2 linked regions of the Oryzias latipes genome follow. The protein of the gene in region 2 binds, or shares a complex with, the protein of the main gene of each other region. Links are inferred from orthologs where the notes say so. Each region holds a gene or a part of one and is shown on either strand. Other genes may lie near its edges.

Evidence for each region.
Region 1: strn3 (region 2) and stk25 share a complex: the UniProt entries of both Homo sapiens proteins name them as parts of the core of STRIPAK complex. The link is inferred for Oryzias latipes from reciprocal best matches to the Homo sapiens genes STRN3 and STK25.

What each region holds. Positions count from the first base shown.
Region 1 is NC_019875.2:5,717,197-5,722,080, reverse strand, and holds part of stk25 (serine/threonine-protein kinase 25), read right to left. Parts: intron 4,367-4,884; coding exon 4,136-4,366; intron 4,023-4,135; coding exon 3,966-4,022; intron 3,843-3,965; coding exon 3,734-3,842; intron 2,629-3,733; coding exon 2,471-2,628; intron 2,324-2,470; coding exon 2,138-2,323; intron 1,392-2,137; coding exon 1,246-1,391; intron 1,062-1,245; coding exon 956-1,061; intron 881-955; coding exon 809-880; intron 740-808; coding exon 603-739; intron 521-602; coding exon 481-520; 3' UTR 1-480. UniProt on the Homo sapiens protein: Oxidant stress-activated serine/threonine kinase that may play a role in the response to environmental stress.
Region 2 is NC_019880.2:2,600,892-2,607,275, forward strand, and holds the start of strn3 (striatin-3), read right to left. Parts: upstream 4,446-6,384; 5' UTR 4,185-4,445; coding exon 3,948-4,184; intron 2,035-3,947; coding exon 1,931-2,034; intron 1,289-1,930; coding exon 1,215-1,288; intron 1-1,214. UniProt on the Homo sapiens protein: Calmodulin-binding scaffolding protein which is the center of the striatin-interacting phosphatase and kinase (STRIPAK) complexes.

The sequences.
Region 1 (4,884 bases), on a different chromosome or scaffold from region 2:
TGGAGGAAACAGTTCTGTTCAGGCGGCTTCACCCGTTTAGTTGGAAAACGGTTCATTAATCAGTGTAACGCCGTGTTTGTTGACGTCATGTGAAGACCGCTGCGGGTTTCCCTTTGTTAGCAGCCGAGCTTCCACAATGTTCCCCCTTCTGCATGGTTGGGGTCTTCTGCATCGTCTCATGAGGGGAGTTTGTGGGACGACAGTCAGCAGCTTTCAAAATCTTATTGATGTCGTTCAAAAACCAAAACAAGGAAAGATTTTCTGTGGAGTTTATTGTAGCAGTTCTCAGTCTAACGGGCAGACGACGCTCTTAAGGGTCATGGCTTTTCCTCTTAAATACTCTCCACTCTGGAAGCAAACCTTTAAAAATATGTCGTCATAGCTAATGAAAAGATCTCTGAGGGGGTGGGGCACATTTCATCTGACAACTTGAACAGGTGACGGGAAAAGGGGCGGCTGGCTCATCACATCCCGCTGGTTTCACCGTGAGGAGGGAGCGGTGTTTCCGTTTAAAGAAAACCTGGAAGACAGCAGGATGGCGGGTTAATGCGGGCGGCGTGTTGCACAGGCCAGCGCGGGCCGCACAGGGGCCGCCGCCTCACCTGCACACTCTCTCCATCATGTGCGTGACGAGGCGGTCGGAGATGCCCGGACACGACTCCTCTGCCAGGTTGAAGGCGTTCTCCAGCTCCTCTATGGCTCCTGCCCCGCCGCCACTCGCTCGCCGCTTGTCCTTCAGCTGGACGGGAAAAGCATTTTCTGAGCCCGCTCTGGTACGGTCTCTACAACTGAGATGCGTTCGGCTTACTTCTCTGAAGATGGGCGTTACCAAAGCAGACAGGCACTGGGACTTGGGCTGTCTCTTCATGGAGTCTCCTGACTGGAAGCAGGGGAACAGAGGTCAGAGGGTCACGGCAAACCTGTCAGGTCTGAGGCTCTGTGCTGCGGTTCTCACCCCCGACTCTAAATGTGCGTAGTCCATCTGTAACTGGCTCATAGAACTGGGCCTGACGGTGGGGAAGGTCCACACGGGACACTGCTCTCCGTCCCCATCAGCATCCCTGCAGGAATGACAGGAGAGGGGTGTTTAAGGAGGAGACGTGAAGACTCCAGACACAGAAATCCCAGCTCTGTTGTCACTCAGGGAAGCAATCGTGCACATGCAGCAGAACCCTCTTTGGTTCAGCGCCGGAGCATCTGCACGCTCTGCCATGCTGCTGATGAAGAGAGAAATTTGAAACGGACATGTCCGAGTCGTCTGAGCTGGACTCCTCTCCGTGTCCCTCCGACTTCCAGCGGCGGTACCGGTCTATCAGCTCCGTCAGATAAGCCGTCTTCTTGGTGTAGCGAGTGATGAACTTGTGCTTCAGCAGCTCCTTCGCGGTGGGCCTCTGTGAAGAGCCAGAACACCGACAGAACCGGGTCAGCACACAAGAACCCTGCAGCTGGGTTTTCCTTAAGATCAGACGCGCATGGTCCTCATGAGGAGTTATACCACGGTCCGGGTGAATCCTCGATTCTGATTGGCTGCTGGGTGTGCATTAAAAACTGTTAATGTACGCCTAAAAAAGAAGTTCCGGTCACAAAGCTTAGATGTTCTGTATCACTGCGCTGGCTTTAAAACAACCTTCATCTTCATCATTTGGACAAAAACAAGCGGTAAGAGGTGAACTTTCTCTCTGAACTGATGCTTTATTCAACCCATCGTGACGATCAGCATATTTATCACTTTCCTTTGCGGCTGCAGTCGAGGTTGGTGCCGTCATGTTACCATGACGACCCGCCGCACCACCTAACAAATAGTCCGCTTTTTGTGAAAAAAAGTGATCTAGACTGAAAAAATAACAAGATTAAAGGACTAAAAACTGGTTGAATATTTATTTCTTTTGAAAGTGACCAAGGTATAAGCGACACACTTTACTGTCCAGACTTCCTCGGCGTGCGTTAAATTCAGATTATGCACACTTGAAGGCCATTCTCCCTCATTTACCAAATGTCTCTCTTTTCCTCCTACATGACTTGGATTCATACATAAATGATCCGTTTTTTCTGCTGATGGTTTAAAACAACAAACAAGGTTTCACTAGAGCGCCATCACATGACAGAAGGTTGGAGGTGAAAATGCAGCTTCACTCACAAAACGGGGATCCTTGTTTAAACAGGCCTCCACAAACTCTTTAAACGGTTTGCTGTACGGCCCTTCCAACGTGGGAGGAGTGTTTTTAGGGATGAGGAACAGGACCCTCATGGGATGTAGGTCAGAGTTGGGGGGTTCCCCCTTGGCCAACTCGATGGCAGTGATTCCCAGAGACCAGATGTCCGCCTGAGTGTAAGGAAAGGTGAACCAAATGAAGCTTTTCCAAACAGAAATGAATTCAATGGCTGTTTCAAAAGCTCAGCATTCCTGCGCCCCCTCCCAGACAGGTCAGCACCACAGACGCTCTTCAGCTCTGGAACAGACTTCCCTCACCTTAAAGTCGTAGGCCGACTGCTTGATGACCTCTGGAGCCATCCAGAACGGCGTGCCCACAAACGTGTTCCTCTTGATCTGCGTGTCCGTCAGCTGTCCCGCCACGCCGAAGTCTGCCAGCTTCACGTCGCCTTGCTCTGACAGGAGCACGTTGGCAGCTAGGAGACAGACGTCAGTCACTGCCGTGTCCACTAACTAGCTAGAAAGACCTGCAGCCTCGGGTCAGGACGGCTAAAGAGGCACAACTAGAGGGTCACATCAATTGGAAGACAAAAAGTCAACACTTCAAAACAGGCTTAAGCATGATTCAAGTCTAAAAATATTGAACATTTGAAAAGAAATGTTTTTTTTTAATTTTGAACCTTCAATTTAAAAAACAAAACTTTAAAGCTTAAACTGTTACTAAATGAAAAATATTGTTTATTCATAACAGCTGCTGTTGTTTTTGTTTTCTTTTTTTATTCTTTAATTTCCGTTTTACGTTTAGAGTTTGAATTCAGACGTTCAGTCTTTTCTGCTGAACCTGAGTTAAGGAAGCTCATTGGCTGTCGTGACATGATTCCCATCAGCTGAAAGCGCTTCTGGTGCTTTCAGCTCTAAACTGGAACTACAAACTTTATAAAGAATATTTTTCATTTGGTAATAATTAAAAGTTTTTTTATTCGAGTTTCAAATCTTCCATTTTTCCCCCTCAAACTTTCAATCATTCTGGCACAGCGAGAGGGGGCGGTGCCAGAGGGCGGAGCTGTCAGAGGGGGCGGTGTCAGAGGGGGTGGTGCCAGAGGTTTTTATGTAGTTTTATGTATTATTTTAGTAGTAAGTTGTTTACATTTTTTTTTAATGGATGAATGTTGCACTGACCAGAAGGCACTTTTAATTTCATTGTATGTATGACTTTGACAAATAAAGATCCATCCATCCATCCATCCATCCTGGTGTTCTTGTGACTCTGATCTGTGTGTAGGTGTGGTTTTGAGTGTGTGTATCAAGCGATTGGAGCGTACCATTTAAGGGTTTTTTTATGTTTGGGAGACTTTTTGAATTTGTACTTAGTCTGAAGTTGATGTCATTTCAAGCTGTGCCTGCGTAAACTGTATTTTGGATTTGAACGTTTTTGATATTCGTTTACAACAGCAAGTACCCTCAGTTAAAGACAAAATGGATGGGTTACAAATCCAGAACCAGCACACACATTGGGTGAGTCCATTTCCCCTCCTGACAAGTTTCCTGGGTGAAGATTCTCTAAGTGGTCTTCCGTTTTACCTTTGATGTCTCTGTGAATCTTCCTCTCGGAGTGCAGATACTCCAGCCCCTTCAGGATTTCCCGCAGTATGGTAGCGATGTACGTCTCCTCCAGAGGTCCTGGGCGGAGCTACGATGACGGCGGGTAAACCAAGACATCAGAAGTAGGGCGAGAGAACCGGCAGGCTCTAAAAGTAAGCAAGGCGGCGTCTTGTGTAATTTGTAATCTCCATAAAAATGGAAATCTTCTTACCAGATCCAGAGCAGATCCTCCACCTAAATACTCCATGATAATCCACAGCTTGGTCCCCTGGGGGGTGGGGTGGGGTGGGGGGGGGGGGGGGATATACACAGTAGTTCAACTGTGGGAAATAAAAGCCTTGCTTGCAGGTAAACAGCAGGCAGTTGCAGCTTTTCTCTCACCTTGAGGTAGGACCCGTAGTATTTGGTAACATAAGGACTGTCACACTGGCTCAGCACTGTGATCTCTTGTTGGATGTCCTCTATCTCATCCTCTGCCTCCTCCAGGTCAATGATCTTGATGGCCACCACCTCCTTAGTGCGGTTGTTGATGCCCTTGTAGACCTCTCCAAAGGAGCCCTTCCCGATGCGCTCCTGCTTGGTGAAGTACTCCTCCGGGTCCAGGTGGGTGTTCTGGTGGAGGGTGGACAGAAGCAGCACCGCTGGCTGTTAGCACTTCCTTTCAAACAAGCATGCAGACACAGAAACGCTGCCTGCAACACAACACTGCTCCCTCCGTCACGGTTCATTTCGTTTCTTTTCCAACACCAGCTTTCAGGCGTGTGATCCTCAGCACTGCCAACTGCTGCGACAGCACCGAGAATTGGACAAGAACACGGAAAAGAACCCAAAGTATTTATAAAAACACGCAGGTCACACGTTACACCAGGGGTGAGCAAACAGAAGGCCGGACCAGGAGCAGATCAGTGCGGGGATAAGGTAATCCACCCCATGAGACAAGAGAAATAATATGGAATTTGGACAAAAACATGCTATAATTAGGATTCAAAAATAATGTATATATTTTAAACCATGATATCTTGGGGGTTTTTATTTGAAAACTGCGACTTTTTATTTTATTTTATGCTAATTCCACGAGTGGGTTGATGCCCCCCAGGGACAAACTCAGAGAAATGCTGCGTTCATGTAGT
Region 2 (6,384 bases):
CACAGATAAACGCTGAGCTTCACTCAGCTGCTGCACTGCAAGGACACTACAGAACGTTTTCCTGAAATGTTCCCACGGACGGGAGCTGGTTCACTCACGAGAGGTTTGCGTTTTTCTCAGGGGAACCTGAGGGAAGTAGGGGTGTGTATTTGCAAGAGTCGGGCGATACGATACGATACGTATCCCGATATTTTACGGGAACACATTTTCTTTCTTTTTAAAAATAAAAAATATGACTTAGAAAAACTCTACCTGAATTTCAATGCGTCTTTTCATTGTAATGTAATGGTCAAATTCAGTTTATTTAATGATCATAATGTTAAGCACTGTAACTGTATCTCATACATAAGTTGCTTTTACCAAAGCAAATTCATAGAGCTTTTATTTTGGTAACATAAACTATAGAATCACTATTATTTTTCCAGAAACAATAAAGTGTGATGATGAGGCAGCATGACAGGATGAAGGAGAGCGTCTTAATGTGGCTAAGACGCTTTGTTTGCAGTCTGCACTGCAGCTCCTTCTCACACACGGAGGTCAACTAGTAACGGTTATCGCCACGACGTTGCCCGTTTTTCAGAGCGTTGTAAACGTCACTCTGCTCTAACAGGTCGCTGAACTAGAATCTATTGCTGAGAGGTTCTGCAGAACTTTGGCCCACTTTGCCGATAGCATTTTGGCCGATGCTAAGTGCATTAGATTAGCCGCTGTGCAGCTGCACTGCTTCACTCGTTTTTGTCCGAGTCCGCTAAAAAGCACCACAATTCGCGTTTTTATATGTTAATTGCAGCAACATGGAACAGAGTTATGGTTCGGTTCCCATCCCAAGTAAAAATGAAGTAGTTCATGTCGCATGACAACGAAACAAGCTGACTCTGGCTGCAGTCTTCCTGTTGTCTTGTGTGTAGAGCTCCTCAAAGAGGTTCCATGTTCTCTGCTGCCCACTAGTGGCCGGAGGTTGAAGTGGACAGCAAGAGTCAGACGCTGAAGACGCTGAAGAATAATTAAATAAATATCGTCCTGACAGTATTTTGAATCGATACGAGTATCGCCAAATGAACTATCGCGATATATCGCCGAAACGATTTTTTCTAACACCCCCTAATTAATGTATTAAAGCAGTTTTCTCATCCGATAATTAGCATTTAATCCATCAAATACGTTTAGGAAAGAGTGAAAGAAACAAGAAATGAAACTGAGGAAGACTTTCAGACCTGATTCAAAGCTTGGCATCTTCATCTCTCCTTGGTTCAGCTCTGTTCCATATTTTAACTTGTGATATTTCGCTCTAGGAGGAAGAGAAAAAAATATTATTTATTCTTACAGATGTCAACCTCAAAGATCAAGTTCAAAATCTAAAGTCGTTTCATGTAAACAGACTTTGAAAACATTGTTTTTTTAAATTGATTTCTGCCTTAAACTTTTCTTATGAATTCAGTTTTAAAGTTCTGCAAACTTTCCTAAAAACGTTTCTTTTCCTGACTTTTTCAGTCCAGTCCTTATTGCTGATCCTCTTCTGATGCCTTTCCCTCAATTTTCTGTTTAATTGTCTAAACAAAAAAATATATCTGATATGTTATGAAATAAATGTTTGATATATTTTGAATTGGATGTTCAAAAGACCAAAAGCAAAGAGAAAAATCTTAATCCTTTTAATATAAAATTCTTGTTTTTAAAAGATGAAAATGATTTTAACCACAAGGGGAATCAACTTTAAGCTTGGGTCAAGGTTTTTCACATTGATTCTGACCTGAAACTTGTTTTTCTGCTATGAAATCACTTCCAAACGAACCTAATTCTCTGTTCGTAAAGTGAAGCATTCCCTCTGGATTTTAGTCGTTTTCCTGTTTGAAGGCAGAGATTTTTTTTTCTTTGGTCTCAAACATTTAGATGATAAAATGAATAAATTGAGATGAGTCGGGGTTCCTACCTTTCCTGTTTTAAAGCATATTCTAACATCTTGATTCTTCGAACCAGATCGTTCTTTAGGTTCTCCTGGCCCTTCCTCTCCCCCTGCAGGAACGCTATCCGGGCCTGGAAAGACGCAGAACAGAAACAAATGTTTCAAAACTCTTATGTACACAAAAATATTGTGTCAAGAAAACAACCGAGTCACTTCCAGAGAAACCAAATCCTCCTGGATCTTCTCTTTATGATAGGTTTCTGAAAGATATGGGAGTCACTCTTTAAAGATTGTTTACATGGTTGTTGAGTTGAGTGAGGTCATGTGACACCTACATGAATCAGACACTGGAAAGGAGGTTCGGTGAGCAGCTCAGCCTAAATGTATGGCGATGACAAACCAGACAGAGTTCCTGTGAGTCATCGGGAGCTTCTCAACACCCCTGACCAAAACAGCACATGTGGGCTGCAGTTATTCAACCACGTCACCTCATTAAAACGCCACTGTCGTTGTGTCAGTACAGCTATTTAAGACCGACGACGTCACACTGTCAGAGTTTTGCTCTGAATTCATGTCCAGAGGAGCAAAACGTGGCTCTGGAAGCTGGAAGATACAATACAATTGATTTTTTTTTTACATTTATTTTTGGCTTTTTGAGGTTGCTGTGTAAACATCTAGTGCCATCTAGTGGCAACATTGCAGAAGAACAAAAAGACTTAAAACATGAGGAGGAAAAATTTAATAAAATCTAAAAAATGAAAGAATTCGACAGTTTCTAATAAAAAAAGAATGATTTAAAAACACATTTATTATGTAAAATATTGTGTACATCAATAACAGCGCAGACATAATGCCATAACAGGAAAAAAAAGCATATTTTGGTTAAAACTAACTCCTTTTTCCTCGTTATTATAAACCCACCAGTGTCTCCTTCTGCTTCGTGAGTTAAATTTTAAGGGAATTTAAATATCAAATCTCCAAAAGGGAGATCCATGCAGTTTGATGTGAGAGCCTGACGTTGGTTCAGGGTCACCTACTTCTATAAATATCTGATTGGACCATCCTTTGGGTTGTGACATCACAGACCAGGATCAGAGCAGAATCCTCCGGCCTCTTCATCATCCTCATCCTGGAGACTCACAATACGTTCAATGGCTCTGAGGAGTAACCTTATTGTTCAATGGTGATGAAATGATATCACTACCAACACTCTCATTTTGTTTTTAGCCTTTATTAAAGCGTCCCCCCCCCCCCCCCCCCGACAGAAACATCTCCACAGCTGAGATGATGCCAGATATTCCTTCTAAAAACCCAAAAGGGTCTGCTTCTGTCACACAAACTGAGATGTAGAAGCAGCAGATCTGCTGCTGGACACGGCAAAGCCAACACACACCTGGAGCTCCATGAAGAACATGGAGCAGCTCCAGATCCCGCTTCTCTCATCGGGAAGTCATGTTTGTTTACAGGCTGTTTCCAAGGAGAAATCCACAGACTTCAAATGGAAAATGTACAGGAATTCATGTAAATAAATAAAAAAACTGACAGCAAATAAAGACCTAGAATGCAGGAGATCTTCCAGAGGGAGGTGTGACCTGAAAGATGCTTCGCAGCCAACCAGAGAACCAGAAAAAGCCACTTTTCTATGTATAGGTTGATTAAAAAAAACCTCCAGAATCACGGATTTGAATCGGTAAGGTCATTCGTTTAGGGTCGTCTGACTGTCACGAACAACATCTGACCAACATCTGGTCCAAATGTCAAAACAGCACGATTAACGTATCCACGGCGGCTGCAGGCTCCCGATATCTCAGTTGAGCCACGGGCTCCAAAGCTAACGGCCAACGCACTCAGACTCCCGGCTGGATAACAGACCTCCACGCCGGTTACTCGTCCCCCTTGACATGTCAGTGGGGCTCCGGTCGCTACCTTAAATTCACGTTAATACGTATACCGATAAAAGGTTATTTGAGATCCCCGGTGACTGTGGAAAAAAAGAAGCTAACCATGCTAATGCTAAGCAGCTAACCCATAGCGACGGACTAACCTGGAGTTCGGCCCGCTCCACCTCCCAGTGCGCCCTCTCCATTTCGAACCGGGCCCACTCGTGCTGGATGTAGTGTAGAATTCCCGGGATAGTGTACTGCTGCTGTGGCCGGGCTAACTCGTCCGTCTGCTGGGGCACCATGACCGTTCCGATGGGAGGTCCGGAGTTGCTCCCGTGCTGCTGCAGCGGCGGCGGCCGCGGGGAGGCCGCTCCTCCCCCGCCTGGGTGTTCGTCCATATTTCGGGTTTTGTTAGAACGTGCGGCGCCGTTTGTACTTAATGATTAGCTAACCGATTTTAAATATTAAAGAAGGAAAAAAAAAGGCGCCGAAGGCCTCGCGCGTCTCCGCCGGGGTACTTGTCGCGCTGGCACCGCCGCCGTGGAAGAGGCCGGCTGCCCCTGAGCGCTTAGCGGAGAGCGGCGACTTGGAGGCGGTGTTTACGTGTGAGTCTCACCGGCCGCCATCACTGCTGTCCGCCTGGATGTGACGGCTGCGAGGGGGAATCCTGCCGCGCTGCATGCCGGGAAATCCAGACACACATTTAGACCCCAAACCTAAAAATAAAATTACGGAGCCCGTGTCCTGACATTAAGATATAAAAATATATCTTGTTCCCACAGATTAATATCTTGTTCCCACAGGTTATTATGTCGTTCGCACGAAATACTATTCCGTTCCCACAAGATACTTTTCCGTTCCCACAAGATACTATTGCGTTCCCTCAAAATACTATTCCGTTCCCTCGAAATGATTAACTTGTGCGAACGCAATAATTATGTCGTTCGAACGCAATAATTAATCCGTTCGAACGCAATAATTATTCACGTCATAAGTCATTCACGCGGATATGCTCTCTGTACGCCGGCAAAAGCCGCTTTCAGCGGTAACTTCCGTGTCTCTGTGACCCATATTCGTTCAAAAAAGGAACATGAAAAACAAAAATGATCACTTTATTACCGTCTCAATGAATATAAGAAAAATATCAAAAGATTTATGATAACTAGGCTGCTTTGTCAAACGATAGCTCCTGCTAGGCTAGCTCCGCCGCAGAGCTCTCTGTCTGATCATGTATGCCGGCATTTGGGCAACTGGCTGGTCTGTTGTCAGACAGCTGATATTGTAGTTTAGGGTCGAATAGGAATAATAATATTCAGGACTTGTCTTTTATTAACTTTAGCAGTCAGTATTTTTACATTCGAAGGCTATTAGGCTACATGCTAACTGACTAGCCGATCATTTCCTGTTATTAATTTACGTCATAGATTTACAGCAGATACCTTCACATTTCTGTCTGTGTGTGTCTCATTACATTGCATTGAAGACACGGAGGATGTTTAGAGAACAGATTTATTTATTTTATTTATAAAAGCACAGAAGCATCCATCGTTTTCACGTTCACATCTGGTACGCCCTCAGTCATCTTGCTGCAAAAGCCGCTTCCTGCCGCTACTTCCGTGTCTCTGTGAGCATTCAATAGGGGTAAAAATAAAAGCAAGAATGGTCGATCTGTTATTTTCTCGATGAAAATCTGAAAAATATCATATTAAGCTGGATGCTTCGCCTAAAGCACTTACCTTTAGCTTGTAGCATAACAACAATAGCAGTACGTCCCGTTTCCCAGAGTGCTTTGCTGCAAATCACTGGCCAATCATTGGTCTTGTTGTTAGACCTTGGTCACAGGGACACGGTGATTGGCTAGTGATTGGCAGCAAAGCACTCTGGGAAACGGGACGTACTGCTATTGTTGTTATGCTACAAGCTAAAGGTAAGTGCTTTAGGCGAAGCATCCAGCTTAATATGATATTTTTCAGATTTTCATCGAGAAAATAACAGATCGACCATTCTTGCTTTTATTTTTACCCCTATTGAATGCTCACAGAGACACGGAAGTAGCGGCAGGAAGCGGCTTTTGCAGCAAGATGACTGAGGGCGTACCAGATGTGAACGTGAAAACGATGGATGCTTCTGTGCTTTTATAAATAAAATAAATAAATCTGTTCTCTAAACATCCTCCGTGTCTTCAATGCAATGTAATGAGACACACACAGACAGAAATGTGAAGGTATCTGCTGTAAATCTATGACGTAAATTAATAACAGGAAATGATCGGCTAGTCAGTTAGCATGTAGCCTAATAGCCTTCGAATGTAAAAATACTGACTGCTAAAGTTAATAAAAGACAAGTCCTGAATATTATTATTCCTATTCGACCCTAAACTACAATATCAGCTGTCTGACAACAGACCAGCCAGTTGCCCAAATGCCGGCATACATGATCAGACAGAGAGCTCTGCGGCGGAGCTAGCCTAGCAGGAGCTATCGTTTGACAAAGCAGCCTAGTTATCATAAATCTTTTGATATTTTTCTTATATTCATTGAGACGGTAATAAAGTGATCATTTTTGTTTTTCATGTTCCTTTTTTGAACGAATATGGGT